Ovis aries: one gene and its partners. The protein of the gene in region 5 interacts with the protein of the main gene of each other region in a biochemical or structural test. Links are inferred from orthologs where the notes say so. Each region holds a gene or a part of one and is shown on either strand. Other genes may lie near its edges. The genes, in order: histone H2B type 1-B, NUP98, NFE2L2, AKT1, CREBBP, VDR and IRF5.

What was found.
Region 1: of the proteins of CREBBP (region 5) and histone H2B type 1-B, one has a biochemical effect on the other in vitro, tested with the Homo sapiens proteins (2 studies listed by BioGRID). The link is inferred for Ovis aries from reciprocal best matches to the Homo sapiens genes CREBBP and H2BC3.
Region 2: the proteins of CREBBP (region 5) and NUP98 form a complex in vitro, tested with the Homo sapiens proteins (2 studies listed by BioGRID). The link is inferred for Ovis aries from reciprocal best matches to the Homo sapiens genes CREBBP and NUP98.
Region 3: the proteins of CREBBP (region 5) and NFE2L2 form a complex in vitro, tested with the Homo sapiens proteins (2 studies listed by BioGRID, with this or other methods). The link is inferred for Ovis aries from reciprocal best matches to the Homo sapiens genes CREBBP and NFE2L2.
Region 4: of the proteins of CREBBP (region 5) and AKT1, one has a biochemical effect on the other in vitro, tested with the Homo sapiens proteins (2 studies listed by BioGRID, with this or other methods). The link is inferred for Ovis aries from reciprocal best matches to the Homo sapiens genes CREBBP and AKT1.
Region 6: the proteins of CREBBP (region 5) and VDR form a complex in vitro, tested with the Homo sapiens proteins (2 studies listed by BioGRID). The link is inferred for Ovis aries from reciprocal best matches to the Homo sapiens genes CREBBP and VDR.
Region 7: the proteins of CREBBP (region 5) and IRF5 form a complex in vitro, tested with the Homo sapiens proteins (2 studies listed by BioGRID and IntAct, with this or other methods). The link is inferred for Ovis aries from reciprocal best matches to the Homo sapiens genes CREBBP and IRF5.

Annotation. Positions count from the first base shown.
Region 1 is NC_056073.1:30,872,063-30,875,951, reverse strand, and holds the start of histone H2B type 1-B, read right to left. Parts: upstream 2,492-3,889; 5' UTR 2,446-2,491; coding exon 2,065-2,445; 3' UTR 1-2,064. UniProt on the Homo sapiens protein: Core component of nucleosome. Nucleosomes wrap and compact DNA into chromatin, limiting DNA accessibility to the cellular machineries which require DNA as a template.
Region 2 is NC_056068.1:50,094,383-50,098,208, reverse strand, and holds part of NUP98 (nuclear pore complex protein Nup98-Nup96), read right to left. Parts: intron 1,300-3,826; coding exon 1,117-1,299; intron 399-1,116; coding exon 242-398; intron 1-241. UniProt on the Homo sapiens protein: Plays a role in the nuclear pore complex (NPC) assembly and/or maintenance. NUP98 and NUP96 are involved in the bidirectional transport across the NPC. May anchor NUP153 and TPR to the NPC.
Region 3 is NC_056055.1:132,851,610-132,856,235, forward strand, and holds the start of NFE2L2 (nuclear factor erythroid 2-related factor 2), read left to right. Parts: upstream 1-1,626; 5' UTR 1,627-1,774; coding exon 1,775-1,819; exon of another isoform or gene 1,820-2,169; intron 2,170-2,304; exon of another isoform or gene 2,305-2,542; intron 2,543-2,959; exon of another isoform or gene 2,960-2,989; intron 2,990-4,626.
Region 4 is NC_056071.1:66,964,012-66,967,837, forward strand, and holds part of AKT1 (RAC-alpha serine/threonine-protein kinase), read right to left. Parts: intron 2,405-3,826; coding exon 2,293-2,404; intron 2,216-2,292; coding exon 2,068-2,215; intron 1,755-2,067; coding exon 1,623-1,754; intron 1,377-1,622; coding exon 1,311-1,376; intron 329-1,310; coding exon 260-328; intron 118-259; coding exon 1-117. UniProt on the Homo sapiens protein: AKT1 is one of 3 closely related serine/threonine-protein kinases (AKT1, AKT2 and AKT3) called the AKT kinase, and which regulate many processes including metabolism, proliferation, cell survival, growth and angiogenesis.
Region 5 is NC_056077.1:3,656,555-3,660,380, reverse strand, and holds part of CREBBP (CREB-binding protein), read left to right. Parts: intron 1-1,357; coding exon 1,358-1,600; intron 1,601-2,735; coding exon 2,736-2,838; intron 2,839-3,111; coding exon 3,112-3,258; intron 3,259-3,826. UniProt on the Homo sapiens protein: Acetylates histones, giving a specific tag for transcriptional activation. Mediates acetylation of histone H3 at 'Lys-18' and 'Lys-27' (H3K18ac and H3K27ac, respectively).
Region 6 is NC_056056.1:138,634,598-138,638,937, reverse strand, and holds the start of VDR (vitamin D3 receptor), read right to left. Parts: upstream 2,855-4,340; 5' UTR 2,337-2,854; intron 1-2,336.
Region 7 is NC_056057.1:94,589,938-94,594,505, forward strand, and holds the start of IRF5 (interferon regulatory factor 5), read left to right. Parts: upstream 1-1,690; 5' UTR 1,691-1,951; exon of another isoform or gene 1,952-2,125; intron 2,126-2,777; exon of another isoform or gene 2,778-4,306; intron 4,307-4,568. UniProt on the Homo sapiens protein: Transcription factor that plays a critical role in innate immunity by activating expression of type I interferon (IFN) IFNA and INFB and inflammatory cytokines downstream of endolysosomal toll-like receptors TLR7, TLR8 and TLR9.

The DNA of each region.
Region 1 (3,889 bases), on a different chromosome or scaffold from region 5:
GCTCTAGGTGAGTGATCACACCATCGTGATTATCTGGGTCGTGAAGATCTTTTTTGTACAGTTCTTCTGTGTATTCTTGCCACCTCTTCTTAATATCTTCTGCTTCTGTTAGGTCCATACCATTTCTGTCCTTTATTGAGCCCATCTTTGCATGAAATGTTTCCTTAATATCTCTAATGATCTTGAAGAGCTCTCTAGTCTTTCCCATTTTATTATATTCCTCTATTTCTTTGCACTGATCCCTGAAGAAGTCTTTCTTATCTCTCCTTGCTATTCTTTGGAACTCTGTATTCAAATGGGTATATCTTTCCTTTTCTCCTTTGCTTTTCACTTCTCTTCTTTTCACAGCTATTTATAAGCCCTCCTCAGACAGCCATTTTGCTTTTTTGCATTTCTTTTTCTTTGGGATGGTCTTGCTCCTACAGTGTCATGAACCTGCATCCATAGTTCATCAGGCACTCTATCAGATCTAGTCCCTTAAATCTATTTCTCACTTCCACTGAAATAATCATTAAAGATTTGATTTAGGTCATACCTGAATGGTCTAGTGGTTTTCCCTACTTTCTTAAATTTAAGTCTGAATTTGGCAATAAGGAGTTCATAATCTGAGCCACAGTCAGCTCCTGGTCTTTTTGCTGACTGTATATAGTTCTGTAAAATATCAACTATTAGGAAGAAAGGAAGGGGCAAGGAGAAGGAAGATAGAAGCAAGCAAGCAGGCAAATAATAAGTTCTACCCCAGGAGATAATTTTGAAGAGACTGAGATTATATTACCACTAAGATCTCATCCCTCCAGAGAGCAATTCTGAAACTGCAGCTTGAGTTCAATTTTTCTTTCTTTTCCCCCCAGAGATGAGTGGAGGGGGTTACAATCTAAAAACCAAGATTTTTAACTTCTAAGACAAGCTTCTGTTTCACAGGTATGTTTTATGTATGCTGAGACAGGGAAGTCTTCTCATATAGCAGTCACCTAATTTGTGTGGGATCTGGGAAAAGTTCATTTAACTCCAAAATTTAAAAGTGGTCTTTTTGAGAAATTCTACTTCGAGTTTTTATTTCCTTATCCAAACACACTGATGTATGTCACCTAAATATGGTGCTTATAAACCAAAGAAAAGACTTTCCCCTACCTTTTTAATATGCAGTCAACCGCTGACTTTTCGTGGCTCTTCCCCTCATCCAGCCCCACTGACTCCTTTTCCACAACCAAGGCCCTTCCTATCAGGATTATTTTGGGAGTAGTATGTTCTCTTAAAAAATTTTCCCAAGAAAAATTAGCACACCTTCCTCTCCACCTGGGGCCCTCCTAGTCTGCAAATGAGGTGACACCAGATGGGGAGGTCAGAAAATTCAAACCATTTCCCCTCCTAGAATTGGGAGTGCCACACTTTCAACCTCTTCTAGTGCCATCCCAGGAAGGTAAATGACCCAGGAAACTGGAACCCAGATATCAGGAATGCAAGAAAAATGGAAACGGCTTTACATTGGCTGTTTCCATCACTATACAATTATAATGAGAAATTAGAAAATCTCATTTCAACCATGTGCAGAGTTTAATACCTTATAAAAGTGTCCGCGGTTTGCTAAAGGAACAACAGGTGATTTTGCTTAGTTTCCCCAATAACAGGGAGAAAACCCCACTGATTTGCCTTCCCTGCAACCTGCCCTGAAAAGACAACCTGCATAAAGATGCCTTGAGGATCGGGACCCTGAAATCCCCCCAACCACTTCCTTACCCGGAAGGAAAATTCTAATCACCATCAAAAATTTTAAGAGGCCTCGTGAAGAGTGAGCATTTCCAAGCATCTGGATGCTTAGTCCATGGGAAACGGGAAGATGTGTCTTTCGGGGAACGTCTCTTAAATGCCAAGAGACTTTTCAAGTAGCTAGAGGTTCTGGCTCCAAAATTGCTTCAACTATTAACCCCACTAGAGTAGATGTAGATGCTTAAATCAATAGGACAGAATTGCATTTACCGCGCGAGAAAACGGCAGTTACAGTCTTTCTTCGACAAAGTGGGTGGCTCTGAAAAGAGCCTTTGGATTAACTGCCTATGCAGGCACTCATTTGGAGCTGGTGTATTTAGTGACGGCCTTGGTACCCTCAGACACAGCATGCTTGGCCAGCTCCCCGGGCAGCAGCAGGCGCACGGCCGTCTGGATCTCCCTGGATGTGATGGTCGAGCGCTTGTTGTAATGCGCCAGGCGTGACGCCTCGCCCGCGATGCGCTCGAAAATGTCGTTCACAAAGGAGTTCATGATACCCATGGCCTTAGATGAGATACCAGTATCTGGATGGACCTGCTTCAGAACCTTGTACACATAAATAGAGTAGCTCTCTTTACGACTGCGCTTGCGTTTTTTGCCATCTTTTTTCTGTGCTTTAGTGATGGCTTTCTTAGAGCCTTTTTTAGGAGCGGGAGCAGATTTAGACGGCTCAGGCATTGTTTTGCCCTAGAAACGTTAGATGATAGCCTCCGCGACTAAGATTACCAGTATGAGTTCAAAAACCAGATATTTATAGCGCTTCAATGTAAATGAGGAATGAAAAATTCTCACTTTTGATTGGGTAAGATCAGTACAGGTTCACTAAGGTCTGGAGGGAGGGGTTTATGCAAATAAGGGATACACATATTCTCTTTCTATTGGATAGAAAAACCTTCGTCCTTCTGACCAATAGGAGACCTAAGTGGCGCATCCCTCTACTGTCTATTAAAAAAATATTTTTATCCCCCCTTGGTCGTCCAGGGTTTTTTTTTTCCTGCTCACAAGTTTTGCTGTTGAGTTTTACAAAGTAACTATGTCTGGACGTGGTAAACAAGGAGGCAAAACTCGAGCTAAAGCCAAAACTCGGTCTTCCCGGGCTGGTTTACAATTTCTAGTGGGGCGAGTGCACCGCCTGCTCCGCAAGGGCAGCTATACCGAGCGGGTTGGAGCCGGCGCTCCGGTGTACTTGGCGGCGGTGCTGGAGTACCTGACGCCTGATATTCTGGAGCTGGCGGCAACGCGGCCCGGGACAAAAAGAAGACCCGCATCATCCCGCGTCACCTGCAGTTGGCTAACCGCAACGACGAGGAGCTGAACAAGCTGCTGGGCAAAGTCACCATCGCTCAGGGCGGCGTCCTGCCCAACATCCAGGCGGTGCCGCTGCCCAAGAAGACGGAGAGTCACCACAAGGCGAAGGGGAAGTAAAGCCTAGACAAAAGAAGAAACTTTTTAATAAACTATTCAAAGACTTTTCACAGCCATCCACATTTTTATTAAAAAAAAAAAAAAAAAGCTGGTAGCCAGGTTATGCTGCGTAGGTGGTTAATTGTAAAAAGACAAATGACATTAAAACAAAGACTCTGGAAATGTTCTCACAAGCATTATTTTACTGCATAGCTGGCGAAACCTTTGTAATCCACAAGGGCCTTTATAAAGAGAAGGGGAGACTAGAGCGGTACTTAGTCTTGAGGATAACAAAAAGCAATTACTCTTGCCAAGATTATTTTTCTCTTGCCTTTGCTTTCAAAATTTTAAAACAATCCCCCCGCCCCCCCATGGAAGTTTATCAGGATCCAGTGTATATATGTCATCAATTCCACCTTTGCATGCATGTGATTTTTTAAAATCATCCACCCAGGGACCCTGGCATGTAGTTTTACAGAAGATAAACTCAGAATTAGGGGAGATCTGATGACCAAAGTTAGAAAGTGGTAGTCCTGGTAGTTCGAGATTTACTTAAAGCTGACCCAACTGTGGGGGAGAAAGATCAATTGTATTCAATTTAGGATTGGAGCAGAAATACTGACAATCTTGAGAACGTGTCAAGAATTAAGAATATCAGGTCCCACCCGTATACTGAATCAAAAGTTAACATGGTGGGTAAATGGCTCGTTATGTACAT
Region 2 (3,826 bases), on a different chromosome or scaffold from region 5:
TGATTCTTCTAAGGTCTGATAAAAATTAGGAGAACTGAGCTTACTATCTAAGCCACACTCATAAGCAAATAAAAACAAACCCCTAAACAAAACACAAATGCTTTTTTTTTCCCATACAACTTTGTGTCTGCACCACTGATCATAGTTTGGAGTTGTCTGCTACAGAAGTTGACTCAGCTTAGAAGAAATGTGAAAAGCCAGACTTTACAGCTTTCTTGTAAAAGAGCATCTTTTACAGTACCTAATGAACGAGGTTTTGATGAGTGAGTTGCTGAGATGGGGAGCCTGGGAGAACATATTTCTTGAGAAGTATCTGCTTTAGAAGGAAGGTGAGTGATGCGCTGATCCAAGACTGTATCTACATCTTCTTCATCAGCAAGCAATGATGCTTTCATGATCTAAAAAAGCAATATCTATAGAATGAATGTGCTCCCCCAAATCCAAAGGCCATAAAAGAAAAACACAGCTTACAACAACCAATTAAAAAGCTCTGCCTCAGGTCATGTCCAGAGCTAGTACAACATTTGTGTGTCTAACTCTGTTATACTGTATGTGCCTGAAGGACAGAAGTTACATAAAACTTCTGTGCTTTGTATATAGTATCACCAGAGGCTGGCACACAGCAGCAGCTTACATATTTGCTGAATGAATTAATTTTAAAGTCAAATATAAGCCAAAGGCTAAATTCATATAATGACAAAAGGCATAAGCAAGGAGAAATTGAGACAGTTTAAAGAAACCTGTAACTATAATTAAAAAACAAAACAAAACAAAACACTTCTGTGGAGCACTTTCCAGAGCCTCAAAACCTCTTTGTAAATGAAGTTAGTATTTTATAGAGAAAAATCAGTGCTCACAGATGTTAAACGACTTGCCCAAAGTCACACTGTAATAGTTACAAAACTGGGCCTAGACTCTAGGTCTTCTGAATCTCAATATAGCCTTCCTTCCACCAATGGCAAAATGATGCCTGACATGGGCCATATTCCTGTTTTTTTCTCATTCCAGTGACTGTTCAATGCCCTTAAAGGACTAATGAAAGAAAAGGCCTGGTATTAAGAGAGGAAGATGAATACTAGTTTGGATTCTTATAATAAGGGTGGGTTAGGACTTCACCTGTAACACATGTGGATTAATTCCCAGTGAAGATGCAATGTGTGTTGAGGCGGACACGGGTTCCTGATCCTCAGGCACGCTCTCTTCTAACATGGAATCCAAAACTGGCTCCTGGGTGATATCTACCATGTCACTGTCCAGTTCCACAACCCTCCCTAACTGCTCCACCTCTGGGCTCTGGCTCTGTAGACAGCAGAAAGATCAGGGAAGCAGCATTAAATGACACCAGATAGACATAGAGCTTCTAGACCATATTTACTTTATTCAAAATATGATATAACATTAGATTCTGCCCATTCTATCATCATGTGAAGTAATATATTTGCTAGAGTATTGAAGAACAATTTCCCCAAAATTCCTCTATTATTACTTGGGATCCAAATGAAGATTCATGGAATTACCCTTTTATAATATTATGGTCTGGAGCCTGGACCTAAGCCAGCACCCATACTGAAAAAACAGTCAACTTCAGACTATGATTATGCCTTACTTGATTTAGTTAGCAACCATAATTTTCTGATTTATACAGAGTTACCATGACCTCACAGTGCCTTGCAGCCAGAAGCCATGGGGAGAGAGAATAAAAGACACAAATACCAAAGTTTCTAGTACCTTTGCATTTTCTTAAAAGCATTTAGAAATAAATTTCTAGTTATCACAAACACAATTTGGGGCCTGGAATTTATTTTTTGGGAGACTGAATCCTAAGGTTAGCTCCACCTATGCAGTATCACATGGATATTGTATCAGATGTAGAACGTGTTTCCCAGAAGAAAAAAAAACAAAGTACTACTAGGAGCAATTTTAATCTGGGAATAATTCTTTCAGGTTTAAATATGTTTAAATGTATCAAGAGTTAGATTTACAATTATTAGGGAGTTTTAAAGATACAGTAATGATTAATAGTCTATTAACAGTTTGAAAAGGTAAACATTCAGAGAGCTGAAACATACTGTAAAATTGGCTCAGTGCAAATTCACATTAAATATGTCCTAAACTCCCACATGATCTGATAAAATGTTAACAAATGGCTATGCTAATTTATGACACATTCTCAAAGCTAAAAGTTGTTCTACCTTTTTTTCTTTCATAATATATCATCTGTAGATTACTAACCTTCCACAATTTCTGGTTTGTCTTTCATGAATGGCCTGTTTCACAGTAGACTTCAAATGGATCCAATTATACAATAGGTGGTTAAAAAAAGTTTCATGATTTCTTTGAACCAAGAAATGACCATTAGTGTAACTTTTTAAACTTTATTTTCAATAGTATATTACCTCTTACTCCCGTGAATTCCTTTAACAAATATCCTTACTAAGAGAATGACTACTGCCATCTATAGCTGTAGAAATGTTGAGGTGTTGGATATGTAGTGAATTGTTACTTATGTTGTGAACATTCCCTAAAGACTGCTCTAACAAAACTGAAGGCTAAATGGTTAAAAGACAAAAGTTTTATATATATATATATATATATTTAAACCTATTGGGGAGGCTACAGGCAAGCTACTTTGATGCTTTAAAATTCCAAAAAAAAAAAAAATTTAAAAGCCCTGGTGGTGATCCTACCATTATAATTAGAGGAATTAGAAGAACATTCCAATGCCCCCCCAGTATGTTCATTTTTAACCAATTCACTTTTAAGAAAAGTTATAACACTCCCCATCCTCTGTCAAAACATCAGGATACTCTTTTCTGTTGGGCTCCCATAATACCTTGTCTATACCTATCTTATACAATGTATATTATAATTTCAGGTATATATTATTTTTGTCCCACCAGATTGTAAATGCTTGAAAGCAGATATAGCCTGCTGCTGCTAAGTCACTTCAGTTGTGTGTGACTCTGTGTGACTCCATAGATGGCAGCCCACCAGGCTCCCCCGTCCCTGGGATTCTCCAGGCAAGAACACTGACTGGGTTGCCATTTCCTTCTCCAATGCATAAAAGTGAAAGTGAAGTCACTCAGTCGTGTCTGACCCTCAGCGACTCCATGGACTGCAGCCTTCTAGGCTCCTCCGTCCATGGGATGTTCCAAGCAAGAGTACTGGAGTGGGGTGCCATTGCCTTCTCCGCAGACATAGTCTACTATTTTCTGTATCTAATACTAACCACATTGTTAAATTCACAACATTTAGTTATTTAATGCAGTGCCTGCCACACAGGAGAAAAGGCTAGTAACTATGAAAGGATAAGGAGCAAGTATAGATGAGAGGAAAGGGAGGAGGAGGAGAGTTTCAATTTACTGTACTATTCAACAAAGGACTAACAAAAAGAGGTGCTCATTTAGAACACTTTTAGAAGCAAACTGGTAGGATTTAATCAAAGTCTGGAGACTGAGGGACTCAAGACTATCTTTAAGAATGCTATGCAATCAAGGTTTTATTTGCTTCCTCCTCATGTACTGACTTCAAAATTAGTATCATCTAATAAGTGGATGGGGAAGTGAATTACTATTAAACTATGAGGACCTGGTAAACTCCTAAAACCCTCATGTGTGAATTTTAAGTATATCTAAGTAATTGCAATAAACGACCCCAAAAGACGTTGTTTTCTGAGAAATCTTTGGAGATCAAGTGGTTCTTCAGAGCCAGCCCTAGAAAGAAAAGCAGACTAATAGAAAACTGGTGACACAGGAGAAACTGAGGAAGGAAAGAAGAGTGTGGGGGTGAGGGGCTGAGAAGCCCATGACAAACACTAAGTAAACAG
Region 3 (4,626 bases), on a different chromosome or scaffold from region 5:
ATACTCTGGTGCCATTCTTTGACACAGAAATGTCATTTCATAATGTCTCTGCATATTCCATGTCAGGTTCACTGTAAATCACTTCTCCTGAGCTTGTTGTTAGTGTGCAGATCATTTTGCAGCCTTCTCACTTAACAGCTGAAAGTTTAATTCAAATTGAAGAAACTTACTTCAATTACAGGCAATTAATTTAGGCTTCACTTACCTTAAGAAATATTCCAACATATAAATCAACAGGTAAGTCCTGGGAGGGTCAAATTACGCAACCAAGAGAAAGTAAGTTCTTTGCAGCTTTGGGGGCGTTGGTCTGCTGTAGTCAGGCTTTTATGGTTTTCTTTTTCTTTTTTTGGCGTCAGGTTTTTGAATGAAATAGTAAAACCAGTGCCAGACACTGTCTACTCCACCTGGTTTTGCATAATTCGAAGAAGTGATAAACTGAAAATCAGGCTTGTTAAAGAGCTAGAAAGAGTGCTGTTGCATAAGAGAAAACAAAACTAAACCATTTCTCTATTCTTTTTTAAATCATAAGATTTCACAATATTCCTGTTTTCAAGTACTTGAAGTTTGCTCTGGGCACTGACTACTTTTTAAATAATTGTTTTTAAGGTGCAGTGAATAATACACATTTATCGTAGATTTAAAACATACTTAAAGTAACAAAGAGATAAAAATCATTCAAGGTCCTGCAACTATTAATATTACTAGTAATATTTTGAAGAACTTTTTTTTTTCTAGGTACATGCTTTCACAGAACGGGTCCATACTACACAGTTTTATAACTTGTTTTTTGCGTTTTTGTTTTTAAAATCGTATCTTGAGTACGTGAAAACTTCTAGAGGTTATGACACGTTTGTAATATCGAACAGGGTTAAAAATCGCCATCTATGGTGTGGCGTGTGCACTCTGGTGGGAAGAGAATGCTCCGGATGGGCAAGCTCGACCACTCTCCGATCCAAAGAGACTTCTCCATTCGCCCTCGGGGACTGAAGCCTGGCCAGAGTGCAAGGCGTGGGAGTAAGTGGAGGGCGATCAGGGTGACCGAGCACGAGCTCCCCGCGCGGTCCACTCTTCCCCCGGGCCAGTCTCACTGGCTGAGCCGGAGCGAGAGGGCAGCTCGCCGTGAGCTGGGCCCAGGTCCCGGCTTCCGGCCCCCACCCCCCGGGCTGGCGCCACTCTCGGGCGGTGGGGAGAGAGAAAGCCGGGCAAGGTTCTGCAAATCCAAAGCAGGGAGGCGCAGCTCCGATACCATCGCCTTTGCCGAGTCTCCAAGCATGTTTGTTTCAACTGTTTAAACTGTTTCAAAGCACCCGAACCCCAGCGACCTTCGGCAAACAACTCAATCCCACGGGCGGGGAGCGATGGCCGTATTCGCTAGAAGGGCAAACTGACAGCGGAGGCAGGCGAGCTTCGGGGGCCTTCCTCCGGCACTCTGCCTGCCCGCAGCCGCCCCTGAGACCCCCGCCCGCAACTCTTTCCCGCCCCAGGACGGCCAGCTTCTTGCGTCAGCCCGGCGAGGGTGGGGGATTTTCGGAAGGTCGGCCCGGGCGGCTGGCTGGGGAAGGAAGGGCCTTGGGCTCTCGCCCCGCCCTCGCGGGGCGGGAGGCGGAGCGGGACAAGAGCCCGATCGGCGACTCCGGCCAAGTCAGGGAGAAGCGAGTTCCTAGGATCCCCCAGGAGCCGCCGCCGCCACCAGTACCGCCGTGTCCGCTCCAAGCCTCGGCAGCCGGAACAGGGCCGCCGTCGGGGAGCCTCAAAGCACCGTCCCCAGCTCAGCATGATGGACTTGGAGCTGCCCCCGCCGGGACTGCCGTCCCAGCAGGTGGTGCCAGGACGGGAGCAGGGGCGCGAGGGAGCCGCGGCCCGGGAGGGACAGCCGCATCGGCCTCTTTCCCCGTCTGTGGCCGGAGCGGACTGCAGCTGCCGCGCACACACCAGAGCCGCCGCGCTTGAGCTGGGGCCGGGGGAGGGGAGTGGCGACCCCAAGGGCTGCGAGGGGTATGGGGGCGCGGGGAATGGTGTGACTGACAACGCGCCCGCAGCCCCCGAGGGCGGTAGGGTTGGGGTTGGGGGGCTACGCCAGCGCGCGTGGGGGCGAAGTGCGTCTCTAACCGCGTCCCCGGTCGCCGGAGCCGAGATGCTGGAGCCGCGGCCGGCCCCCTCTCCGAGTTTGAGCGGCCGGGAGGCAACCGGGTAGGAGAGGGCGGACACTGGCGGTCTGAGCCGGCGCGGCCCGGCCCTTCCGGGGCTGCGCGGCTCCCCCGCCTCGGAGCCGGCAAAAATGTGCCTAGTCACGGGGCCACTCTCGGGGGAACTGAGGTCTCCGGGCTGGGACCCGGAACCCCTCCTCTGCCGCTGCTCCTCTGCTCAAGACCTCCGCGGGCGCGAGCCGCGGCGCTCTTACCCTGCTGAGGGTTCTCTTAGGCAGAGTGATCAATCACTCCAGCCTTGCGATCGCCCTGAGGCCGCTTGGCGAAAATGCCCAGCTCCCAGGGTGGGGGCAGGAGGAGGTCACCAAGCGCCCAGCGCACTCGGTTTCCCCGACGTACGGCGATCGAACCCTGCCCTGCGCGCCGCCTCGCCCCGAGGGAAGGGTTCGGGCTCTTAGAACTCTGAGTCGGCCCCTAGCAATACGCCGGCAAGGGCGGGTGGGGCGGTGGACTCTGAAGTCCGACGGGCCTTCGCCCCCCACCCCACCCCAGCTCCCCGGGGCTTCTCGATCCCGGCGCTGTGCTTCCCGGTGGCGCACGCCGCGAGCGTCGTCCCGGCGCCGTGACAGTGGCCGGTTGGCTGTCACGGCGGCCCTCAGTGGGCCCTTTCCTGCTTTGTAGCGTGCAAACCTTGCCGCGCCGGGGCCAAGGGACAAGTTGGAGCTGTTGATCTGTTGCGCAATTGTTATTTTCCCTAGGGCGGCTTTGTCTTTGGATTTAGCGTTTCGGAATTGCAATTCCAAAATGTGTAAGGCAGGATATTCTGTTCTCTGCTGTCAAGGGTAAGAATTTCGAGTGTAGATTAGCATTTCTGTTGTTTTTAGGCTGTTACTAAATGTTGCGCTTTCATACATTGTTTCTCTTTTGGGTGCTTTATGTAGTTTTCCTTTTCTGTTTGAGAATTTGCCTCAATTGCTTTCCTAGTATGTTGCTTTTGAGAGGGCAGAGGGTGGGACAGCTGTGTCTCATAAAACTTCGCTAACAAGTTCTGTAAATGTCGCAAATGTGGGAACAAGTTTCTGTGTATATTTTGTAGGGACTTTTTAAAGGAGTAGATAGTTTTATTTCCAATTTGTGCGTGTGAATGCGTTTTTTGGAAAAATATTTAGTTCAAGGAAATGTGTAACCTAATAGGAACGGTAAATATATTTAAGCTCTTAAACATCAAGCTTTAGACTAATCCTGAAGTAAGGTTTTGATATATTGACAATGTAGTGATTGTGCCTTTTTTTTCCCTTGGAAGCTGTTGTCTTGAACTTTCCCCCAGTAGTGATTAAGACTGTGTTCCTTCCTCCCCACGATATGAAGAAATAAATTGTGCTTTCCGATTCAGCTGCTGTTCAGTCCCTATAGCCATTTCTTTAATAATCTATATGACCAAAGGATATATGATGCTAATGGACTCTAGTTTTCCCAGATTCAGGAATGTAGCCTAGAGGGGTATATTACTGAAGTTTTTATTTCTTTCTTAACTATATAATTTACCATTCCATATACAAAAGTGGGTAAACATCTTTACTGCTTTTTCTTTTAAATGTGAACTTTCCAATTATGTTTGTTAAGGTAACTCCCTTTCCACCCTTTGTAATCAGACCTCAGTTTGCATATGCGAAGAGTATAAAAGAAAATGGAATAAAATTTAGAGTTAATGTCATGCCTGTAACTAAGATTCATATTAAATCTTTGTAGTCCAGGAAGATTTGGACAGAGTCATAAGTGGATTCTAACCTCTTGTCAAAGAAACACCAGGCAGGAGGTGGTACGGGGGTAAAAGTTCTTCCCCCTTTGTGCAAAGGAGGTGTTGATGAAGAGCAGTAGAGTTTTACATTCTGAATTTCCATTAGCTTCTGGAAGGAATCATCTACCCTTTTCAAAGCTGTCTTGGAGAAAGTATTTTTGCATATGAGGAATGAAGTTGATCTTGGACTAGGTAGGTAACTTCCAAAGAAAAATAAGGCCTCCCTCTCATCTCCAGAAGGTTGAGCAAAGAACAACTTGACTTTTTAGATATTTGGAAAAAAACCTCTTGAGAGATTGTGAAAGATTGTAGTAGGATAAAAACGTAACTCACATCAGTCTGCATTAAAAGTAGCATGGGCCATTTTGGACTCTTTCTTGTCAACTTGGGTTTTTATAAACAGTGCTGGGAGGGGAAACCCCAAAATCTGACTTTCTTTAGGATAATCAGGAAGAATTGAAAGCTAAATACACGAATTTTACTTACAGAGCTACATGAGAAAAAGAAACCTCTGTGGGCTAGAAGCACTTTTTTTTTCCCCGGGGAATTTCCTCTCTACTGGCGGAACACATTTAAAGGGGGGTTTGCGTAAATATTTCTTCTTTGATTTTTCCTTCATCTGGGGTTCACTCGTCAGTGCATATTCTTGGATTCAGGAGTTTGGCACTCAGATAATCGTAG
Region 4 (3,826 bases), on a different chromosome or scaffold from region 5:
CCTGTACACCACGTTCTTCTCCGAGTGCAGGTAATCCAGGGCCGACACGATCTCGGCGCCGTAGAAGCGGGCCCGGTCCTCGGGAAACACCCGCTCCCGGGACAGGTGGAAGAAGAGCTGCGGGACGAGAAGCCTGAGCCGGGCCAGCCGCCTCGGCCAGGGCCGCGGGGCAGAGACCCTAACCCGGCGGGGAGTGGGGAGGGCGGCCACCCCCCAGCACCCGGGGCTCAGAGAGGGCAGCGCAGGGGCAGGGCCCTACCTCGCCCCCGTTGGCGTACTCCATGACGAAGCACAGGCGGTCGTGCGTCTGGAAGGAGTACTTCAGGGCCTGTGAGGGAAGCAGAGCTCGAACCTGGCCCTTGGCTGGGCAGGGGGTCTGCCCCGTGGAGCAGGAGACCCCCAGCTGCCCCAAAGGCCATGCCCGAGGACCAGCAGCTGCAGGTCCACTGACCACGTGGAGACTCCCCTGCAGGATGCAACCCACTGCCCTCACGCGTCAAACCACAGGCAGCCTCACTTCAAAAGAAAGACTGCTACTGATGGGATGGCCCCCAGCTCATGAAGATACCGACGTGAGACCCTCCCCCACGTCCTGCTCCATCCCCCATCCCCAGGGAGAGCCGGAGGGAGGCAAGCGTCCCCAGGCAGAGCAAGTCCGGATCCCTACAGGACTTGAGGTGGCCGGTACCCAGTGGAGGGCATGACAAAGCCTGGCCTTCTCCTCACAGTCCTCTGGCCAGACAGAGGGGAAGGGGCAAAATGAAGCGGAGGCGGCAAAGCCACGGTCATGATAACTCTGGGCTGGGCGGACAAACAGTGTCTGCTCTTAACGCCTCACACTTCTCCTGAGAAAACATCCTAGGAGCCTGCCTGCTGCTCGGCTCTCCCCGCGCGTTAGACCAGGCGTCCGCTGGAGAGCAGACACCGTGCTGAGCACAGTGGTCCCGGGGACAAGACTCTGGAGGCTGACCCGGTCGCCTGACTGCTGACCTGGGAGCACGGCCAGCCAGGCCTGGCGGCTAAGTCCAGCCAACGCCTTGCTGCTCGGGTTTTCCTTACATCCCTCCTGGGCCGAGTTCCCCCAGGACAGGGAGCGCCTGCCGGGAGCAGCAGGGTGGGCGCGGGGAGTGCAGCCTCCCGGGGTCTCAGCAGGACAGAGGGAAGCCGGGAGCCCCTGCCCGCTCTGTGCACCCCCACGCCGCTCCCGCAGGCCCGCCCACCATCGTCCAAGCTCCGAGCCTGCTGGGTTGGCAGGGAGGACGGGCTGGGGTCCCCAGGGGCACGGGGGGGGGGGGGGGGGGCGCGCTCACCGTCAGGAACGGGTGCCGGGAGTTCTGGAGAACGCGGTTCTCTGTGAGCGTGTGGGCGACCTCGTCCTGCAAGACGGGCACTGCTGAGCCGCCTGCCCGGCCCCGGCCCCCCGGCCCCCCCCCCCCCCCCCCCCCCCCCCCCCCCCGGCCCCCGCCCCCCCCCCCGCCCCCCCCCCCGCCCCCCCCCCCCCGCCCCCCCCCCCCCCCCCCCCCCCCCCGCCCCCGGCCCCCCCGCCCCCCCCCGCCCCCCGCCCTCCCCCAGCCCCGCCCCCGCCCCCCCAGCCCCGGCCCCCCCGCCCCCCCCGCCCCTACTTTGGCCACGATGACCTCCTTCTTGAGGATCTTCATGGCGTAGTAGCGGCCTGTGGCCTTCTCCTTCACCAGGATCACCTTCCCGAAGGTGCCTTTGCCCAGCAGCTTCAGGTACTCAAACTCATTCATGGTCTGAGGGCAGCGTGCAGGCGCCAGGATCAGGGGGCTGCACGCTGACCGCCGGCGGCCCAGCAGCGCTGAGCGGGGCCGGGGTCTCCGCGGGCAGCCTCGGGCCGAGGACGGTGAGGCTGGGGCAGCGGGCGGGGGGGAGGATGGTCCTTGGGGGTCCGGGGCTCAAGGGAGACTGCAGGGCTGTGCGCCCCAACTGGGAACGCTGGGGTCCGGGGGGTGGGAGAGCCGTTCCCAGGCCTCCCTGCGCCCGGCGCGTCGCCCCCGCTTCCGTGCAGGGGCTGGGAGGGCGGTGTGGGGCAGGGCTGGGGCTCACCACGCGGTGCTTGGGCCTGGCCAGCGACACCTCCATCTCCTCGGCCCCCGAGTTCTCGCCGGGTGAGCCCGACCGGAAGTCCATCGTCTCCTCCTCCTGCCTCTTGAGCCCATCGGCCACCGTCTGGATGGCGGTGGTCCACTCCTCCCTGCGGGATGCTCAGGTGAGACCCCAGCTCTGCCCGGGGCCCGGGGCCTCCCCGGCCGCGGCGCCTGCGCTCCCTACCGCTCCTCGGGCGTCTCCACGTGGAACGTGCGCTCGATGACCGTGGTCCACTGCAGGCAGCGGATGATGAAGGTGTTGGGCCGCGGCCGCTCCGTCTTCATCAGCTGGCATTCTAAGGGCAGGCAGCACCTGTCTGCACAGCATCCCGGCCCACCCACCGCAGGCCAGACCTCTCCAAGCCTCAGTCTCCCGCCCTGTAAAAGGGGGCCAGAGCTCCCTTCCAGCTGGAGCCCTGCTGAGAGCTAGGCAGTGCCCCTGAGGGGGTGTTTGCGACTGGACGGATCCATCTCCAAGGCCTGTCCTCTGGTCTCTGAGCTCCCCAGCCACCCAGGACATGGTCCTCAGCCAGGAGGAGGATGGGGGACCTGGGGGGCCTGAGGAGGGGCTGGCGGGGAGGAGGCCTCTGGGAGAGCTGCTCCCCAGCTTCCCGAGCAGGAGCGTCCCACCCCCCAGCCACACGAGGACCAGCGGGCTCCCGGCCCCATCTCAGCGCAGGGCCAGGCCCGGGATGGAGGCTGGCAATGACTCATCCTCTGGAGAGGCCACCCGTCCACCCCAGAGGCCGCCTGGGCTGACCCTCTCCACGCTGCTGCCCACAACCCCGGTGCACGCAGGAGCGGAGACCGGCTGGCAGGCCTGGGAGCGCACGCACGCCTGGAGCACACGTGCCCCAAACGCGCACACCTGCAGAGAAGGAGCTGTGGGAGGGCCCAGGGCCCGGAGCGGGGCTGGGTTCCAGCTCGGCCGGTGGAGGCAGGAGGGGCCTGGGGCCAGTGCAGGGGCCTCCGACATTCCAGCGTCTAGGCCCTGGCAACCGCGGGGGCCCCGCCAGGCTCAGCCGAGTGCAAGGAAGCAAGGAATGGTCTGCCAGGCTGGGGACCAGGGCGGGGGTCTCCGGGGTGGTGGGGGTGGGGAGTGGTGCTGGGGGCCCACGTCTACCCGGGGCAGGAGAGGGAGGAAAATCTGTGCGGCAGCCTTCGGGGTCCGCATACCCTCCTCCATACTCTGCCCACCGGAGACCACCAGGAGTCCCCAGGACCCAGGCCCATCCAGGGCCTGACTTCTCGCCCCCCACCCCGGCAATTCCTCCTCAGTGAACAGCCCCTGCCGCAGAGGCCCCCGCGGAGCCGCCCAGCCCTCCCTGTCCGCTCTGCTCCTCCTCCTGTGGCCTAAGGCCTGCCTCAAGCCCCTGCCCCACCTGCTGCTGGAAGCCCCTCTGGGTGGTCCTCACCTCCCATGTGTGTCCTGACGGCCCCCACACTCCCCTGCGCTGAGTTTGGGCAACACTCCCGAGGAACCTCCTTCCCCACGAGGTGGCAGCTGCCCAGCTGAGCATCCTTCCCAGGCCCAAAGCCCCCAGCCCAGCCCCGGGGGCCCCGTGGGGAGCCCAGACTCACGGCCACGGGGCTGCCGGAGGGGACCTGCCTCCTGGGCCTCCCCCCGCCGCTGTTCTACCTGCTGCTCTGCTGACACCCGAGGAGCCTGGGAGGAGGGTTCAGGGCTCACAGGAGCCAGTCCCTGGTAAAGCACCCCA
Region 5 (3,826 bases):
CTTAAAGTTTCGTGGAGTATTAACTATTAGAAAAAATACCTTTAAAAGTATTATACATGACTTATTTAAGAGCTACATACTTATCATAAAATGTACCTTGGAAATTGCTTTTCATTTATAATAATGAGGTGCTTGGTGTATATAATTGTGTCTAATGAGCATTAATGAGTTTGAGATCTGAATATTCTTCTTAGAAAAGTTAAATAGTATGGAATATGTAATTATCAAGGGCTTTTTTTTAAACACATTTTGGTTTCGTTAAGTTACTCGGATAAGTGTTTGAGTTGTTTATATTATAATTGTGCTGATGGTGATGTGAAGATATTATTATTACAGTAATGGTCTGAATTTTAAAGAAAAATTTTGTGATAGTGTTTTATGTCTCAAAGATCTTATGTTATAGTATCAGTTTTATAACCTGCTGTTTATGACATGGCTCTGAAGTTTGGGGAAGTTGGAAAGAAAGGAACTGTTAAAAATAAGAATCAGTGGTATGATGCAGAACTTCTGCCATATGTTGAATCGATTAGGACATTTGGACGATGGACAGACAGACGGACAGATGGGTATTTGGGTCTTCTCTGTTAACTTTGAAGCCCTTGGGAATGGAGCTCTTTATGTTGCTACAGATTTTCCTCAGTCAGCCACGGTATTTCTTGAACAGCTTCACATAGCAGAGAGCTTAGCATCGTGCCCTCCCACGTAGGAAACTCGGAGCAGAGAAAGGCGTGGTGTTGCCTGGTCACTGTACACCATGGGTTCAAGGAAATGCAGTTTTGTTTTTTGGAAGATTGTGTCAGAGATCGTAATTAAGTTACTGTTACTTGATACCTTTAGTAATTAAGATATTAATTAGGTTAATAAGTAACAGAACTGACCAACTAGGCGTCTCCTCCGCTCCTCCTCCTCTTCCTCCTCTGTGCCTGTGCACTGAGCAGTGAGGGACCCCGAGGAGCAGCAGCAGGAGGGGCTTCTTAGCTCGCCTCAGTGGAGGCTGATGACCCCCATGTTTTCCCATGTTTGCTGTTTCCCCAGAACAGACTTCTTATGAGCCTCTACATTTAATACACGCTGACCTTGACTGTGTGATCGCTGATTTTCTGGTCCGTTGTTTTCTAACATAGAAGCTTGAATTCTCTTCAGATTTTTGTTCTTCGGGTGCCGCTGTGCAGATGAAATTAATAGAATGGGCTCCTTCTGTCTGCACAGTTCCTTTCTTGGTAGCGGGGTTCCAGTGCTTCATGATATACATAGGTGGTCTTCTGATAAAATTTTACTTGTTTTTCAGTCGTTTTTAACTCACTTGTAGACTTTTCCCTTTTACTTATCTCTTGTGTTTGTCTGTTTGTTCTTATAGCCATCCTGGGGTCTCCAGCTAGTGGAATTCAAAACACCATTGGTTCTGTTGGCACCGGCCAACAGAATGCCACTTCTTTAAGTAACCCAAATCCGATAGACCCCAGCTCCATGCAACGAGCGTATGCTGCTCTTGGACTCCCCTACCTGAACCAGCCCCAGACGCAGCTGCAGCCTCAGGTTCCTGGCCAGCAACCAGCACAGCCTCAAACTCACCAGCAGATGAGGAGTCTCAACCCCCTGGGTAGGTGAAAGGACTCTCGAGAACTTCCTTGTGCAAATGCAGTGTCGGGAATGACGAGCCTTCTGGAGCCCAGGGCTGTTTTCAGCTACTGTTTTACTTTAAATTCAAATTTTAAATTTAAATATATATATATGTAATAAAATTCAAATATATATATTATGGTGAATGGTGTCTTTTAAATGATTAAAATAAAAAAATTCCAGGAAAAGGCTAAAGAGTCAGGTACACTGAAGATGTTACAGGCTTGTAAGATGAATCACATTTGCAAATGAACCAACATTTTTGTCACTTGTGTCTGGATAGTTTTCATAAAGGGCATTTCACATGGCTCAGAATGCAAAATCTCACAGGTTGGAATTAGGGCAGTACCACTTGCCTTGACTCTGCAGCTCCTAGCATTTCTTGGTTGTGGACTACGTGTGACTAGAGCCGACCAGTCTGAATCCGGCCAAGCTAACAGGGATCTCAGAACAGGGTTGTTGTGGTGGTTTGGTTCTTTTCCTAATAAAGTATTTTCACTTTAAAGATACTTCATCTGTTGCGTGTTGGGAAATAGTTGCCCTAATGCATCTCTGACTCCTGCTGGCTAGAAGACTGGGTTGGAGTCTTGAAATGTCCCTTCCAGTCTGACACCACTTCTGTTGGTGGTATAATCTGGAACAAGACTATTAACCTGCATCCCACCTTTCTCTTACTTTAGAACGAATACTGTAGACAAATTGACCTTTTGTCTTCTTCACGTGAAGTTAATTTCTATGATTTTTATCTTCTGATATGCAAAACAAAAAGATGAAGAAGTGTATGTGATGGGAATGAAGCCAGAATCAAAACCGAAGCTGCAGATGGATCATTTCTGATTTTTTTCCATAGCCGCCAAGCATTCATGCTGCCAGCCAGCCTCCGTAGAAATGCTCTTCTTTGGTTTTCAAGTGCGATGGGAAGCAATTGAATTTATACAATTTGACCACCATTATTGAAAATATAACTCCCAGAGTTCCTGCCATAGCATTTATTATTATGAGTCATAAGAATAATTTTCATAAGAATCATTTCTTTATATGTGACTTATCTGTTATTAGGACTTTGAGGTGTATAATTTAGGAGCTCGTTGATTCCTTTTCTTTTTGTCTTTCAGGAAATAACCCAATGAACATTCCAGCAGGAGGAATAACAACAGATCAGCAGCCACCAAACTTGATTTCAGAATCAGCTCTTCCAACTTCCCTTGGGGCTACAAAGTAAGACCCTTGTTTCATTTGGCTCCTGTCTGAGTGACAGTCACATGTTAAAGTGGGCTGGGAACCACATAGAACTCTTGGTTCTTTCTAAAGTGTAGGGCTGTTTCCCTCCCTCCCTTCTCTCTCCCTCTCCCCTCCCTCCCTCCCTCCCTCTTTCTTTCTTTCTAACAGATAACAGAGTTTAAAGTCACATATGGTTGAAGACCCTTAGTTGGATGAATGTCATGTGAGTCACTTTTCCAGTTGGATGACCTGTTCTTCCTCTCCCCTCAGCCCCCTGATGAATGATGGCTCAAACTCTGGGAACATTGGCACCCTTAGCACTATACCTGCAGCAGCACCTCCTTCCAGCACTGGCGTTCGGAAAAGCTGGCATGAACACGTCACTCAGGACCTGCGGAGCCATCTAGTGCATAAACTGTACGTGGCCCTCTCGCCTGTTACTCACATGTGATGGAAGCACTTTGTGACTGATGGCAGTGTGATAGTTTTGCAGTTTCCTGGGTATCTGATTTAACTCCCAGGTGTTCTTTTGTGTCCCAGGTGATCATACCCTTGCAACTGAAGGGGATCACGTGCTTGTTTAGGGAGGCTGGAGGATCCCAGATTCTGAGTGCCCAGTGGATCCTGGAAAGGAATATGAACTTTGACCCATGTCACAGGGGCAGGCCTATTTTCTAAACTCTCAGTGCATGGGGAGCTGGAACTCACTCAGAAGCTTGTCTTATTTTATGGCTCAAGGCTATAGTTGTGGGGAGCCCTGAGAATTGCAGGAATTTGGGCCTAGTAAATACGGATGGCTTCACAATACCATCATACAATTAACATGGGAAATTAATAGTTGATTTCTCCAGCAATTTAAGTTAAATGAAGGGTGACATTAATCAACTCGATTCCGATGGAGTTTTCTTTTTTTTCTCCTTCATTATTTTAATCAAAATTTTTTGTACTTAGTAGTTTAAAGATTAGGAATTCAAAATCATATTAT
Region 6 (4,340 bases), on a different chromosome or scaffold from region 5:
AACCAACCCTAAAGTTAGTCCAGAACGTGGGAGCTGCCCGGGAAAATTGCCGGAGCTCAGGCGGGGTTGTGGGAGGCAGGGCCTCAGCCACGGAGGCAGCCCGGCTCTCTGGGGGCCCCAGAGGGACAGGAGACCAGGCAAGAGGGCCCTCGGGTCCCATCACCATTCCACACAAGGTCAGTGAAGACTCGTGGTGGCCGGGCCCTGGGCTGGGGCCCTGAAGGGACACAAATCAGCTTAAGTAAAGGGACCTCTCCTTGAGGAGCAACAGGCTTCAGGAGGGGGTAAGGCACAGGCCCTCCAGTGACAACAAGAGCGTACGCTTAGAGAGCGTTTCCTGCGTTCGAGGTCCAGGCCTAAGTACTTTTACAAATGTGGCTCCCAGCCCTATCAGGGCTTCCCTGGTGGTCCAGTGACTGAGAACCCACCTGCCAATGCTGGGGACATGGGTTCGATTCCTGGTCTTGGAAGAGTCCACATGCCACAAGGCAGCAAAGCCCATGCACCCCAGCTACTGAGCCTGCGAGCAGCAACTACTGAACCCTGCACACCCTAGGGCCCACGAGCCACAGCTGCTGAGCCCGAGGGCCGCAGCCGCTGAGGGCCTGCTCCACAACAAGAGAAGCCACCACAAGGAGAAGCCTGCTCACTGCAGCTAGAGAAAACCCAGGCACAGGTGCCAAGACCCAACACGGCCAAATATTTACATGAAATGTTAAAGTCCTATCAGCCCTGTGCAGAAGGTACTGCTGTTCTCCTCATCTTGTAGAGGAGAAAACCGAGGCACACAGAAGTTAGGAAACTTCCACCCACCATAGCACTATAAAGGCTAGAGCCAGAATCTTGGCCCAGGGAGCCAAGAATCCATGCTCTCAGTGCTGTACTCTGCCACCTCTGTACGTGCAAAGGCAAGGCAAGAACCCCATGAGACAGTATAAACAAGCTAACATGAAGATTCAGAGATGGTCCCCCGCAGAGGGTCAGAATCAAGGAGGGCTTCGTGCAGGAGGTCGCACAAGCACCACTTCTGGAAGGAGAGTGGGGACTTTGGGCCTTTCTCAGTGGCAGGGGCAGAAGGTATAGAGCAGAGAAAGCTGAGGCAAGAGCAGACAGAAACGGGACGCAGGGGACCCAACTCCCAGCATATGACCCCCACCACTCGAGAGGCCACCCCCACTCCTGCCCAGTGCCCAGAGAGAAAGAATGCATAGCTGAACCGAGGCCCGGCCACAGTGACCACGGTCTGGATTCACCCTCCGTCTCTCCAGCATCCCAGGCTGCGTTCTCGCCTCCCTCTGACACCTCCCATCCAATCCTCTCACCCTTCCTGTTTGTACTGGTCCCCTTGCACACCTGTTCACAAGGGTGGGTGAGAGGCCAAAACTACTAAAAATTCTCTATAACACAAATGTTTGGTGGCATTTAATTTAGACCAAAGTCACCAAGCTATCTTGTGCCCATGCAGCCATGTGGCCTCAGGACCCCAAGAGATAGGGTGGCAGGTCCCTGGGCTGGACACCCCTTCTCTCTGCCTTGCCTCCACTTATCTCTGAGGCCTCTTCCAGTCACGGGGTCTGAGCCTCAGTTTTCTCTCTGGATCTGTTTGGTGTGTTGTGTTTCAGGACTGAAGGCCTCGTGAGCACAGAGTACTCATCTCTCTTCTCCATCCCTAAGGCTTGCCATGGAAAGACCAGCTGGGTGGATGCTCAAGGCTAATTCAAAGCTGGCGGCATTGGCCAGTCTCCCGCGCGCCTTCCATGTAAGCTTCTAAGAGCTTGTTGGTACTGAATCACCATCACCGTAATATCTGATAATAGCTGCCGTTTACTGAATGCTTATTGCCTGATGCACAGTAATCTAGAAATGTCTCATGGATTAGCTCATTTCATCATTTAAACAATGCTACATATGGTTGGATGGCATCACTGACTCAGTGGACGTGAGTCTGAGCAAACTCCAGAGGTGGTGAAGGACAGGGAAGCCTGGTGTGCTGCAGTTAGACACGACTTAGTGACTGAACAATATATCAGGAAGCTGAGGCCCAGAAAGGGTTAAAGGCGGTGCCCAAGGTCACACTCAGGTGCAGGGCTTCACAGGGAGGGAGGGAGCACCCGGAGGGCAATGACTGTGTTTTGTTCCTCATTGTCTCTGCCCCAAGTCCCTGCAAGGCTGGCCTTTACTAGCACAGGAGAAGTGCGAAGACAAAGCTGTGAATTCTAAAGAACTGCCTCCTGTCCGGGAATCTGTGAAAACCACCTGCCCCAGGCCCATGCAGTGGAGGGCTCTGAGTCCTTTCTCAGCTCTGGGCCAGCTCGACTCCAGTTGCAAGGACCTACCTGTCCCAAGGTGGGCCTCGCCTGGGTGCACGGAGATCCCAGGATGGGCAGCTGGCTCCTTCTGGTCCCACCAGGCAGGCCAGGCCCGGTCAGTGCCAGGCCTGTTGCTGAGGCACTTCAGCTTTGGGTGGACTCCCCTCCTCGGATCCTGGCTCCTCCTGAATCCTTCTGTGGAAGCTGCTGCTGCTGCTGCTGCTGCTGCCAAATTGCTTCAGTCATGTCCGACTCTGCGCGACCCCATAAACGGCAGCCCACCAGGCTCCCGCGTCCCTGGGATTCTCCAGGCAAGAACGCTGGAGAGGGTTGCCATTTCCTTCTCCAATGCAGGAAAGTGAAAAGTGAAAGTGAAGTCGCTCAGTCGTGTCCGACTCCTAGCGACCCCATGGACTGCAGCCTACCAGGCTCCTCCGTCCATGGGATTTGCCAGGCAAGAGGACTGGAGTAGGGTGCCATTGCTTTCTCCTTCTTCTGTGGAAGCAAACAACCCCAAACCTCTGCCGGTGTTAAGGCTGATCCTCAAGAACCGAGGGCCAGGCTCCTGGGCCTCTTGCGCCCCCTGGTGGAAGGAACAAAGTAGTGCCTATGCCTGCAACTGCTTTGTGAATCCAACCTTCCCTTTTCTCTCCTCGCTCCATCCTCTCTCCTCTCCTCACCTTCATTCACTCACCCTTGACTGCACGTCCACTGGGGGCTGGGCACCTGCCGTGAGATGGGGATGCATACCGTGTCCTGTGACTGTGACACTGTGCTTGTCCTGAGGTGCTCACCTTGTACTCACTTAAGTCGTTCCCTCATCCTACACACAGCTGCGGAGCTTCTACTCTCCGCCAGGCTCTCCTCCAGGCGCCAGAGACGCCACCTCTCCCCACACGGAATTGACAGTCTAACAGGACATTCAGCCTGGTTAACAGAGGGTTATAATGGAGAAAGCGCAGGCGCTAGAGAAGAGACGGATGTGAAGACAGCAGCGCTGACGCCGAGCAGCGTGTGCACGGGGGCGGCAGGAGAAGACCTCAGAGTGACATCTGGGCTGGGCTTGGGTGGCTGTGTGGGATCTCTCCGGGAGTAGGACAAAGGGTGTGGATTGGGTGGGGCAGGGAGGAAAGATTATCCCACACAAAGAGGGCAGAACTAGCGAGCACATAGAGTCCCGGCATGTTTAGGGAGCTACAAATAGCCTGCTGTGGTCAGAGCGTGCGGTTAGAGGGAAGAGGGCAGCAGGAGAATGGAAGGGCCTTGCAAGCTGTGGAAGGGGTTTGGGTCTCTTCCTGCAGCCTGTGAGGAGCCACCGAAGGTTTTAAGAGACAAGATGATACCACCACGTTCGCGTCTTATTTATGGTAATTAATTAATTAGGATGTGCCAGGTCTTAGTTGCGGCAATGTAGGATCTTTGATCTTAGTTGCACCATGTGCGATTTTTAGTTGCAGTATGCGGAGTCTTAGTTGCTACATGTGGAATCCAGTTCCCTGGCTAGGGACTGAACCCACGCCCCTTGCATTGGGAGTATAGAGTCTTAGTCATTGGACCACCAGAGAAGTCCCTGCATTTTATTTAGAAAAGGACCACTAGACCAATGGAATGTGGGCTATAAGAGCAAGCACCAGGGGCTCGTGTACTCCAGCTGGGTGACATGGATTCACTTCTCCAAGCTGCAGACTCCTCATCCATCAAAGGCAGTAATGATGCCCCATCGGCAGAGCTGTTGAGGGGACCAGATGAGACTGTGTGGGTAGCGCCTACCCCCGTGCTGGACACATAATAGACACTCAGTAAACGATCATGTTTTTTGAAGTCAGAAAGCCTCCTAGGCAGGCTATTACAACTGCTTAGGCAACAGATGTGGAGGACTGAATCCAACCACCAACCATAGAGGGATGAGGAGTGAGAAATGGAGCACTTCCTGCCCTATCAGTAAGCAAGGATGTCATAGTCGTCAGCAGTCGCAGCCCTCCAATGTGACTGGCGAGAGCCCTAAGGGCACTCAGGAAGGAGGAGAATCCC
Region 7 (4,568 bases), on a different chromosome or scaffold from region 5:
GGGGTCCTCGGAGTCTGAGGTTTGCCCAGGATCAGACCATTCCTGAGGGGAGAGCCAGGGTGTGGCTCGGGGCAGCTGGATCCCAGAGTCTAGTGTCTCGCCAACAAGTTCCCAGAAATGGGAGTGAATATCTAAGGGCCAGGCCAGCCCCGGGGAAGCCTGACAGCCCGGACTGAGGGAGGGTGTGGGGGCTGGGTCCTGGGCCTGTGTTGAGGGGACGGGTCTAGAGTCGGGAGGGGGTCTTGTCCGGCTGCCTGCAGGACCTCTAGGTTCTCTCCCCACCACTCACACTGGGCTTTCGGTTCCCTTTGGTGATGTGGCTCCCCCCACCCCCAACCCTTGCACATACACACACGCACTGTGGCTTCAACCGGAATCAGGCCTCTCACCACACCCTCAATCTGATGCCCCGACCAGGGGAAGTGGGGGCAGGGGCTGTCTCACCGTTGGAAATGAGAGGCGTGGACACACATCTCTACCAAGGCTCCCAGCTGTGGAGGCCACGTCTCCTCGTTCCCCGTGTGCCTTGGCCCCACTGCGGGGGAACTTGGAGTGATCACATGGGGTCCCTGGTTCAGTCTCACTTCTCCTTTGCTTGAGCCTCACCATAAGTCAGCATCCGGAAGCAAGGGGACCCTTGAATTTTGGAAGAGTCTGAGAGATGCTCTCTGTCCCCACCCCGTCCTCCTGATGCCGTGTCTTTGGCCCAGAGTGCTTCTTGGTTCGGGTTCCCCTGAACCTGGGGAAGGCAGGACCCAAGGGATGTGGAGCCCTTGCATAGCCCCTGGCCCTGGAACTTCATGCCAATGCTGCGATCTCAATAGTACCATCATCTCCCCTTTCACCGCAGGAAATGAGATTCACAGGACCTGCCTAAGGTCCCTGAGCTTGAACACAGCGGAAGTGGATGCAAGCTCAAGGGCAGTGCCCCCTCTTCTACACATGGCCTCCAGAGGATTCTTTTTTTAAAACTTATTTGGCTGTGCCAGGTCTTAGTTGCAGCAAGTGGAATCCAGGTCCCTGATCAGGGATTAAACCTGGGCCCCCTGCATTGGGAGCGCAGAGTCTCAGCCACTGTACCACCAGGGAAATCCCCCAAATGGTTTTAGACCAAGTTCAGGGGCTCACAGGGTGGGGGGCCTCACCTGAGGACTGGGGATAGTCGTGGGGGTGGGCAGAATCCTAGTTCTAGTCTCCCTTAGACTGTGTGTGTGGGACATTTAGAAGATTCTTCTTGACAATCATTCCAGATATATTTTCTAGTCCAACATAGAATACTTCCTATTAAGCACGACTCACCTCCAATGAAAAAGGTTTGTATTTTGGGGGGAACTATTTTCAATTTAAATAGCAGTTTCACTTTTAAAGAAAGAAATACAGAACAATCTCCCTATCCTCATTTTCTGCATTCACACTTTAAATCTTAAAAATCTTAAGTAGCGACATATTCAACAGATACAAATAATACAATACTTATATAAGATTATATTTCTATTTTATATTAGGGCTACAAGAGTTGGGGAGAAGGAGAGAAATGCAAGAGAGGAGAAAAAGGACAGCACGTAACGAGCAATGAAACAGATCAGGGGTGAAGATTAACCCAGGTATTTCTACAGAGATGGAGGTGGGAAGGGAAGGTCAAAGTTCTGATTCATCCACTAACTGCTACCCCTGTGTTTGTTAAAAATACAGGCACTAAACTTTAATGGGCAAAGAGTACTTTCTAGAACTTATATATTTTAGTTTCTATCTAAGATGTAATCGATTGACATAAATTTCCTTCATATAAAATTTTTTTATTAAAAATTACTATAGAAAATAGGAGATGAAAAGACAGGCATGGTTCCTGAGTAAGCTGATTCTAGTGGAAATCAGACATTAAACTCCTAAGTGAAAACCAGTGAAGATAAGCCTCAGGGTCTGGGAACCCTACCTAGGAGACAAAGTCAAGGTAAGCTTTTCAAAGGAGTGATGCTGAAACAAAATCTGAAGAGGAGCAGGAGTTCCCACGCGAAGATTGCTCCAGGAGTGGTAACTGGACAATGTGAGGGCTGCAACCAGCGAACGAGGCCTGCCTGCGGAACCAAAAAACGTTCAGACTGGCAGACGGATGGTCAAGGTAGCGGTGAGTGAAGAGGTGGGACGAGAGACCAAGGTGCTGACCCACAGAGGTCCCCAAGGCGATCAGGGACGGGGAGCAGGGGCAGGCAGGTGCGAAGGTTAAGGATCAGAAAGAGAGTAGCCTGACCATCCCTGTCTGTAGGCACCTTGTGGAGGGAGTGTCTGAGTCTGGATGCCAGTGGCTGGGTACTGGGCGACCCTCGGAAGGGTTCGCGGGCTCGTGGGGCGAACGCCAGGGGCTACTACTACCCCCACCGCGCTCGTATGTGGATCGGTTGATCGCCAGTGTCCGTACCAATCTAGAGGTCCCGGAGGGACAGGCTAGAAAGTTCCCGGGCCCAGCCGATCACTATGGCAGAGTGGGGTGGGGGGGCTGAGGTTGTCGAACGACTCTTGCGCCTCCAGATTTCTGACGGAGCCCAGCAGTCCGTCCAGGCCACCGCGCTGCCGCGCATCTCCGCCAGGCCCTGGGCTGCAGGGGAACCAGCCTGGCCCGGGGCTCAGCCCCGTCCCTCGGTCGCTGAGTCTGCGCGGGGACCCCAGGGTGGCTCTGCGGGGAAGGGCGGGGCGCTGCCGGCGCACCAAGGCTGGGCGGCCGCGGCCCAGGGGCGGGGGCGGGTGATGCGGAAGTGGCGAGCGGGCGGGCGGGCGGACCGGCGCGGCTCCAGGACAGCGCAGCTCGGCCCCACCGCCTGGCCGGGGCTCCCGGGCGCAGCCACGCGGGCGCACGGCAGACAGGTAAGTCCAGGCGGCCGCGCGCTCCTCTCCGCGCCCGCGGGGCACCTGCCGGCGGCGGGCTGGGGACTGAAGCGGTGCGGGCGCGCGGGAGGGGTCAGCGTCCGGCTCTTCCAGGTGCCCGAGCTCAGGGTGGGGAACGCCCAAGGCAGGACGCGCCCCGCCGTTGTGGGGGTCCCCAAGATGCCTCCTATGTCTTGATCAGAGAGGGGTGCCCCGCACCATCAGCCTTGGTCCAGAAGGCACCCGAGGAGCCCGGACGCGCGGGCGGCGGAGTCCGCACCGCGGCCGGGGGCGCCAGCTCTCCTGCTTCTCTCCCCTCCTCTGGCCTTCGCGGAGGATGGGCAGCGCCCGGCTGCCATGGGATGGGCAGCGCCCGGCTTGGGCCATGGAGGGAAAGCCCCGATTCCGCCTAGAATTCTGTACGCTCCGATCCCCCTTCCCTGGGCAGCCCTCCCCTCATCCTTTCCAGTAAGAGAATGAGGTTTAAGAGGTCCATCTCTCCCTGGATCTTAAGACAATGGCAAGAATTCGGGCAGAGAGTGGTTGGGAAGATGGTGTCAGGCGAGGCGCCGGCTGTCCTTTTACTTGCAGCGGAGGAAAGCAGCTGCTGACCCTCCTAAGCGAGAACCACGGACGTGATACTTCTTAGACTAGTTTCTCTACAGCCTTCCCCCGAGCATCAGAAGGAAACAATCGAGAATCTAAAAGTGGAGGGAAAGTGAGACCAGTGTGACCGTGTTGCGGGATAGGAGACGGTGAACACCTGCGCGGCCCGGGCGCGCAGTTGTCTCTGTGGCCCCGGAGGCACCGGATCTGGCCCTGGGGACCTGAGGCGGAGGGGACTTCCCTGCCTTCGCCGCCACCCTGCCCCCAGCAGAGCGGGGATGAGGGCGGGGGCTCCTCCACCCTGAGGAGCGGTCGGAGAGGCAGACCCTAAACCAGCGCTCCGGGCCGGGGAGGGAGTGGGGGTAGTTCAGTGGGCTGGGCCAGGAGGCGCGGCCAAGCCGGGCACCTGCGGGGACGGTCTTGAGAGCAGAGCCGAGTTGGGGCTCCCTGCGCGCCCAGAGCGGGGATGAGTGACCAGGACCAGTAAGGACGAGGCGGGGGGGAGTCGATGGAGAAAGCTAGAGTCTCCCGGGAGAGGCAGCCAGGCCAGAGCAGGGTTATAGGGTTGGATACTGGGGCTCCCAGCAAGTCAAGGGAAGCCTTGGGAAACCACCCTTTTTTTAACCCTGGGGTTTCCCCACCTGCGCCTTGGCCTTACCCCACCGTGCCCCCAGAGGAAGCCGAGGGAAGCGTCTTTCTGCCCTCATCTGCCGCCCTGGAGTCTCAGCTCGTCTCCCCTGGAGGGGGAGGGGCTTAAGGTCTCGCTGGACGCCGGGCACCCATGCCTTCTTCAGGAGTTTGGTGTGGAGTTTTCGGGAAACGTCTGAATCAAATTCAGGAGGTGCAAGGGCTTGCTGATCTCGCAGTGCTGGGGGCTGCAGAGCCTTCTCCCCTAGGAGGTCCCTGGTGCCCACAGTGTTCAGGCTTCCCTTGTGGCTGGCTCCTGGGAGTTCAGGAGTTGCCGGGCCTGTGCACCTCCGGAGATGCTCCTGGGCTGCCCCTTCCCCTATAATAGGGCCTTCCTCAGGTCCTCAGCAGGCCACTCCTCCTTTGATGTTTCCATGGAAGCTGATGTATGCTCATCCCGCCTTCCCCCATCTTTC